Linked DNA regions of Xenopus tropicalis. Each later gene encodes a partner of the first gene's protein in a complex. Links are inferred from orthologs where the notes say so. Each region holds a gene or a part of one and is shown on either strand. Other genes may lie near its edges.

Evidence for each region. Proteins that work in one complex are often made in the same cells at the same time.
Region 2: the proteins of map2k1 (region 1) and ksr1 are in contact, whole or in part, in a crystal structure (PDB 9AXH), measured with the Homo sapiens proteins. The link is inferred for Xenopus tropicalis from reciprocal best matches to the Homo sapiens genes MAP2K1 and KSR1. Residues at the interface, in NP_002746.1 of Homo sapiens: Asp217, Ala220, Asn221, Ser222, Phe223, Val224, Gly225, Thr226, Arg227, Ser228, Met230, Arg234, Leu235, Gln236, Gly237, Met308, Ala309, Ile310, Phe311, Leu314, Asp315, Val318, Asn319; in XP_011523731.1 of Homo sapiens: Asn767, Gln768, Leu769, Lys770, Leu771, Ser772, His773, Leu776, Val784, Arg785, Met787, Thr788, Pro789, Asn823, Gln824, Ala825, Ala826, Glu827, Ala828, Ser829, Ile830, Trp831, Gln832, Gly834, Ser835.

Annotation. Positions count from the first base shown.
Region 1 is NC_030679.2:117,157,017-117,160,675, forward strand, and holds part of map2k1 (dual specificity mitogen-activated protein kinase kinase 1), read left to right. Parts: intron 1-565; coding exon 566-776; intron 777-890; coding exon 891-1,037; intron 1,038-1,318; coding exon 1,319-1,396; intron 1,397-1,591; coding exon 1,592-1,643; intron 1,644-2,205; coding exon 2,206-2,330; intron 2,331-3,659. UniProt on the Homo sapiens protein: Dual specificity protein kinase which acts as an essential component of the MAP kinase signal transduction pathway.
Region 2 is NC_030678.2:104,961,165-104,964,823, reverse strand, and holds part of ksr1 (kinase suppressor of Ras 1), read right to left. Parts: intron 2,332-3,659; coding exon 2,277-2,331; intron 1,357-2,276; coding exon 1,308-1,356; intron 584-1,307; coding exon 195-583; intron 1-194.

The sequences.
Region 1 (3,659 bases):
TACCTAGGCAAATGAGCTGGTGACACCGGTGTTTAATACGCAGTATTATGAATTCCGTGAATAAATCCTATCTATCTCTCCATCAATGCCACTTGTGCCCAACACAACTGTGTATTAAAAGAACGTCTGAGCTGATATTACAGGTCAGCTCAGACCCCATAAAGTGAAACCACATGTCCTGCAACCCTGATCCTTTTTATCAGGGGTCCCCAACTTTTCTTACTCGTTAGCCACAGTCAAATGTAAAAAGGCTTGGGAAGCAACACAAGCACCATAAAAGTTCATGGAGGTGCCAAATAAGGGCAGAGATTGGCCATTAGGTAGCCTCAATGCACACTATCGGCTTACAGGGGGCTTTATTTGGTGCTAAATCTTGTTTTTATTCAGCCAAAACTTGCCCCCAAGTCAGGAATTCAAACATAACTACCTGGTTTGGGGACACTGAGAGCAACATCCAAGGGGTTGGTGAGCAACATGTTGTCCCCGAGCAGCTGGTTGGGGATCACTGCTTTTATAGAATCATAAAACTCCTTTGAGATTTCTTATTTTCCTTTTCTCTTTGTAGGACAAACCTTGAAGCTCTGCAGAAAAAGTTGGAAGAGCTGGAGCTGGATGAGCAGCAGAGGAAGCGTCTAGAGGCCTTTCTCACCCAGAAGCAGAAAGTTGGGGAGCTGAAGGATGATGACTTTGAGAAAGTGTCGGAGCTTGGAGCAGGCAATGGAGGAGTGGTGTTTAAGGTGTCCCACAAGCCGACTAGCTTGATTATGGCCAGGAAGGTGAGATTTTTGAATGGAGTTTAAGTAGAAATAAAGACAGAAGGAAAACGTGAATTTGTTATTAATTTGTGCATAAGAATACAATGATTGACATATTCTATTATTTTCTGGCAGTTAATTCATCTGGAGATAAAGCCTGCAATCAGAAATCAGATTATCCGAGAGTTGCAGGTTCTGCATGAATGTAACTCCCCATACATTGTGGGGTTCTATGGGGCCTTCTACAGTGACGGAGAGATCAGCATTTGTATGGAACACATGGTGAGAATTAGGGAGGGACTTGAAAGGCCAGAGCTCAGAGCCTTTGGGATAATGAGCTAATGATAAGGAGATTTAAACTGTGCTCTAGTCATTAGCTGAGGCATCAGATACACTCAGGACTGTATCTATACAAGGTGTACACCTTTAGGGCGAAGACACACAGGGCGATTAGTCGCTGCTTTGAAAAGTCTTACTGGCTTAATTAAAAGTTGCGGCAACTAATCGGCCTGTGTGTAAACTTGTATTTTCTTTGCTTGATCTTCTATTTTTTGCCCCTGCAGGATGGAGGCTCCCTTGATCAGGTTTTGAAGAAAGCTGGCAAAATCCCTGAGAAAATTTTGGGAAAAGTCAGCATTGCAGTGAGTATTTAGCAAATGCAAATTTGTGATTTATATATATAAGAAAACTATCCAACAAAATCAAATCCTTCCAATTATATGCTCATTCATATAGAGGGCATCCTGGAAAGTAAAAGCTGTAATTTATACTACAAGTTTTAATGTCATGTGTTACACTTGCTCCTGTCAAATTCTGATATCCATTTCTAACTGCAGGTGATAAAAGGTCTAACCTACCTGAGAGAGAAGCATAAGATAATGCACAGAGGTAAGTTTCTATATGGAAGGGCCCTCATTGACTCATTGATGTATAACGCCTTTTAAAATGTTCAGCTTAGGACCGGAAAGATCATTCTGTATTGAAAACCGCTGTTATAGCGTAACAATAAAAAAAACTCACTGTAGCACTAATGGTGCCATGCCAACCACAATGGCTTTATATAGAGAGATGTCTCCTATTAACTAGGATTAGGTGTTTGAGGAGAAATAATGTGCTTCCAGTAGCATAAAGGCATATACCCTACGTAAATCTTAATGTTTAATAGCTCAAAGTGCTTTTATGAGCCCCTTTGCAATGTTATTATTTTCTTTAGTAACAACCTTGCTAAACAACATTAGCTTTATTTTCTGAATCAGGATGTGTTCTATTGATCCTGTCACTAAGCAATAGAACTGAACAGGAAAGCATCAAGAGAGGCTTCCTGCTTCAATAAAATAAGCTTTGCCATTCTACCCAGCCCCCACACACTTTTACCAATTTTACATTCCGTTATTGGGTTAGGTATATGTCCCTTTTAAAAGTCATTTTTTTTTTTTTGTTTGTTTTGCAGATGTGAAACCTTCTAACATCCTAGTCAACTCTAGGGGAGAGATAAAACTCTGCGACTTTGGAGTCAGCGGGCAGCTAATAGACTCCATGGCAAATTCCTTTGTTGGGACAAGATCCTATATGTCAGTAAGTGTCCTCCAGTTCCTCTTCACCCCAGAGCATATGTTCAGTGACAGCTATTCTTAAGTGCTTGTGAAAATACAATGTTGCACAGGGGTTCCCAAATACGAAATGTACATTAATTTAATTGTAGTCATGTAAGGGTTTTGTAAAGCTGTTTCTATTATTTGAGGCAGATTCACTTTGATATACATCTTACTGCTCTTAGGATCTGAACACCCCAAGGGTCCCAAACCATAACACACCACATTTTTCTCAATGTATATTAATAAACATGGTCCTACCCCTTCCATGGTGAATTTGCAATAATGTGTGAATTTTTCAGGTAAATATACATTTGAAACATGTTACAGTCATTGGAGCTGATCTCCTATTGCCATGTTATGTGTTTATGCATCGACTGCACTCTGCACAGAGTCACGTGTGTTCACACTGTGTGTCAGGCAGCAGATGGAGAATGCCCTCCCACACTGTGCAATGCTCCGTGTGTGTGTGTGTGTGTGTGTGTGTGTGTTTGTAATTACAGCTCGTCACATTCTGGCTGTTGGGGGTGGTGATGCTTGTTCTTTGTATTCTGGAAGGAGTCTGCCCTAATTACTACATTACAGATGGTGTATATATTATGTAATGCTACAAAGCAAAGTGCATATACACTTGGTCAGTTACAAAGGTTTGTATGTGTGTAGGGGTGGATATAGATGTATAAGTTAGGGAGGAACTCCTATAACCAGGTAAGTCATCTTGGTACCCATGAAGTAATGCAGACTCAAAAGCAAGGAATTTGTTAATAGCCCTGTTCTGTGCACCTTGCAGCAGTTAGTGCAGAACAAATAAAGTACTTCCGTTTGCTAACTTTCTTAGGTCTTCAGAACAATTGTGGAAGTAGTAAAAGGAAGTTGATATGGGTAATTCAATCTCAAGTTAATTTTCAGAAGAATAGAATGTCCTATTAGCAGCCTTTTTGCATTCTTTTCCTTTGTTTCCTTTATAGTTTTTAAATTGTTTACCTTTCTCTTTCACCTTTCAAATGGGGGAAAAAACTGTTGTTCCGAGTTACTTTTTATGACTTCTTTTTCTATCAAGGCCCTTTCCTATTTGTTCTTTGGTCTCTAATTCAAACCACTGCCTGGTTACCAAGGTACATTGGACTTTCAACAGCTATCTGGCTTCTAGGATCCAAACTGGAGAGTAAGGTTGCCACATGGCCACTATTTTACCAGCCTGGGCAGTAAAAATGATGCTTTATGCCAATGTTATTAAAAGGGGAAAAAAGTTAAAAATATAGGAAGCCTGGTGTTTCCAAAAAAAGGTGGCGACCCTACTGAAAAGTTGCTT
Region 2 (3,659 bases), on another chromosome or scaffold:
TTGTGAATAATCCAATGCCTTCAGAGTTCATAATAATAAACATAAATAAAATAATTACATAAAACCTTTATCAGGAAACCCTCATCAGGAATTTATATTTTTTGTACAGTTTTTTATTAAACTGATATTTTATCCAATATATTTTTACATTCAATAAATATATGGCTTACAACCAGAAAAGAAACACCACTGACCTGGTGATGATGGCCAAGTGAGGAGGATGCATGCATGCTCCCATAAACAGAACTACATTCTCATGCCGCGTCTGTCTGTAGTTCATCACCTCCTTTTTGAAGAGTTTTAAGTGATCTTGATTATTTCCATCTATCTCCAATAAACGTATGGCTACCTCACCGTGCCACTTGCCTCTAAACACCTTTCCCCATCTGCCTTGGCCAATGAGCTCCCCAAGTTCTATCTGCTCAAAGGGAATATCCCACTCTTGCAGGTATACACTGGTCTGGCTCGCCTTGCGGATGATCATTCCCCTGAAAGTTCCACTTGTGTATCTGGAGTTAGGAAGCTCATCAAGCTCATCATCGTCATACTCTGGCTCAGATTTATTGGCATCCTGCTCTTCCACCTGTAGTAAATATATAATAATTAGGTCCATATTCAGTTGCATTTGAATATTCAGGCAGTGATCTTAGGTAATAATAGTTTTTTTTAAATACATGGGTATTGTTGCATATACCCTACTTACAGAACTGTACCTCATCCATTATATTTAAAAATGTCTGATAAATCAGTTTACACTACGGCTGCCACTGCATGGGGGGAAGGGGGTTCTCTTTCAAGTGAAAGGCACCTAGCATCATATATTATGATCTATATATATATATATATATATATATATATATATATATATATACTGCAGTCACAATGGCATTTTCTGAATGACCGTGTGCCATTTTGTTCCTATTTGATACAACTGTTGCATGTGCACTGGCAGTAATGTTTCTAGGAGGGATAAAAACAACCTCTCTCTTGAGATGTGCTTCTGGTAGGCTGGAAATCTGGCAACACAGGAATGGTGGCAAGGGATGTGATACCTAATCATTACGAGAAGTCTCCTGAGTGCAGACAACATGAAGCCTTGTAGAGCCCCTTGAGATTTCCCTACACAAGAAACTATTTCTTATTTTAAAGCAATATACCTTCTACTATCATACAAAATTTAGATATGATTTCAAATAATGCTACATTTGGCTCCTAACATCCCAATACATTTATTAGGTACGGAGCACCTTATAATGACATTTATTGTATGCTCCCATTCCATGACTGTACATGATGAGCCACTTTACCTCAGCTTCTTGCTCTTCTGCCACATCAGTTTCCATTTCAGCCTCAGCACTAGGAATAATACAGAATAATATCTCAAAACACATATGTAGTTAGAATAGGTGAATGTTTTGCTGTTGCCAAAGGTAGAATGCCAAATCAGATCAATTTTACGTTTGTAGGAAGCCAATTATTTCTGCTGGGTGTAGAAGGCAGCTTTGATTTGAGGAGTTGACAAAGGGATAGAAACAGCAAAAAAATCTATACAGTGTAGTATTTTCTCTTAACAATACACACTTTGTGGTCCAATATATAATTATACATGTGATCAGTAGAAAAGAGATCAAATCTTTAAAACCAAAAAACTCCAGGAACGATATACAAATCCCTTATCTGCAGTGGTACTGATATATTGGACCACAAAAGGAGAAAATATTACACTACATATATTTTTTTTGCTGTTTCTATCCCTTAGCCAATGGCGCTGAAGTTTTTCTTGTTTGTTTTGAACTAAAAGGATTTGTGGGAAGTCCATCAACTTTGGCAGGGATCGGCTTTGAACTTTTCACACAGACTTATCTAATTTTCTTACTTGATTTGAGGAGTGATACAAGGTATCAGAAGCACATTTAGATACAGGGACACTGTCCATCAATGGATGCAAGGGACACACATTATAATTAATGTTGGTACAGATGCTTCAAAACATTACAGTTTTTAAATGATAAAAGTATTGCTTTTGGATATAATTATTAAAACAGCAATTCAGTTGTATATGAATGTACTCTGAAAATGTAGAATAATAAACATATACACTTTTGTATATGATTGCAGAAAAAAACATGCAATCAAGTAGACTTGCTTCTGATCTAATGTTAAAAATGTCTCCACTGGATCCGCCATATGGCATATACATGACTGAAGGGGCAATCTCTAACAAATGTAAGGAAATGAAAAGAATCATCTGAATTCAACAGCAGTTAGCACATTACCTGGAGTTCTCTGAAGTCTCAGAAACATGCGATGCTTGGGCAGTGACAGATACTTCTACAATAATAAATAAAAAAGACATGCAATCAATACATAATATACAATACATATCTTGTATTAATAGCATCTGTTAAATATAGGAATTTCTCTGTCCTCAAATTAAAAGTTATCTCCACCAAATATACTGTAATTGTTATGGAAAGTAGTTATCTGTCTGCTGCTTTTGAATATACAAAATACTTATATCAATTGCACTTACAAAAACTTTAAAATCATTGAAATGTTTAATTAACGTATATTTGAAGCTTGTTTTCAATTACATTTTCTTTCATTATATAAAGAACAATTTTTGGGTGGAGAACAGCACATTAGTGGAATTGCATGGTCATTGTTCGAGTTTGTGCTGTTAGCACCATCAAGTGGTTAACCAAGATTACTGCAACATGAAAATACAATACAAACCTGATGTTTTGGGCCAGATTTAGTTTGGTGAGAAAAGGAGTTTTCACATGAAAACTCATGGAGGAGATTCAATTTAATTTAAAAAACTTATCTCATGGTTTATCACATGAAAACTCTATTGAAGTCTAAGGGAAAAAACAAACTGAACCAGGAGAAAAGTTTTATATCCTTGAATTGAATCTCTTATGCCCCTTCATAAAGACAATTGCATGTAATTGCATCATACAAGTTAAAAGAATTCTTATTGCCTAAAGAAAAACTAAGTATTTTAATTAACTAACAGTATTTTGATACATGTGAACAGAAAACGTTGTTTAGTGAATCACCGTGGCCCCCGTGACTTTGTAGCTAGGCACAGGTGTTCATGTGGCAGATATGTCCATTATAGATAATCAAGCAGACTCAATGAGGTGACTTTGCACCTTTCTGCATAATAAGTGATTCAACAAACATTGGCTGTTTTTTTCCTTTAATTTTGGTCAGTGTAGGTTATCAAGTATATTATCAATATATAATAGGGATAGAGCTAATGCCAGACGTAGAAGTCTTATAGGTTGTGTATAAAGGTAGGCCGATTCACTCTACTCTGCTCACTCCTCTGTCTGCACTGACAAGCACTGCGTTGGCCTGTGTGAACACGGAGAAATATTTAGAGCAAAAATTCATACTCTTGCTTTTTTTTTTTTTTTTAAGAAATCCACTCCGTATGTGCACACAGGACAGTGCAGTGCCTATGAGTGCAGACATACAAGCATTGAACAGCTGTTTATCAACCTACGTTTTATACAAATGCTGAGACACATCTGGCATTAGCCTAACACTTGCTTTTTTGTGTGTCATGTGTCATGTTTGAGCAACCACAGCTCATTGAAAATATATCATAGCTATCATTTCAAGTAAAAACATTCATATTTTGCTATTAA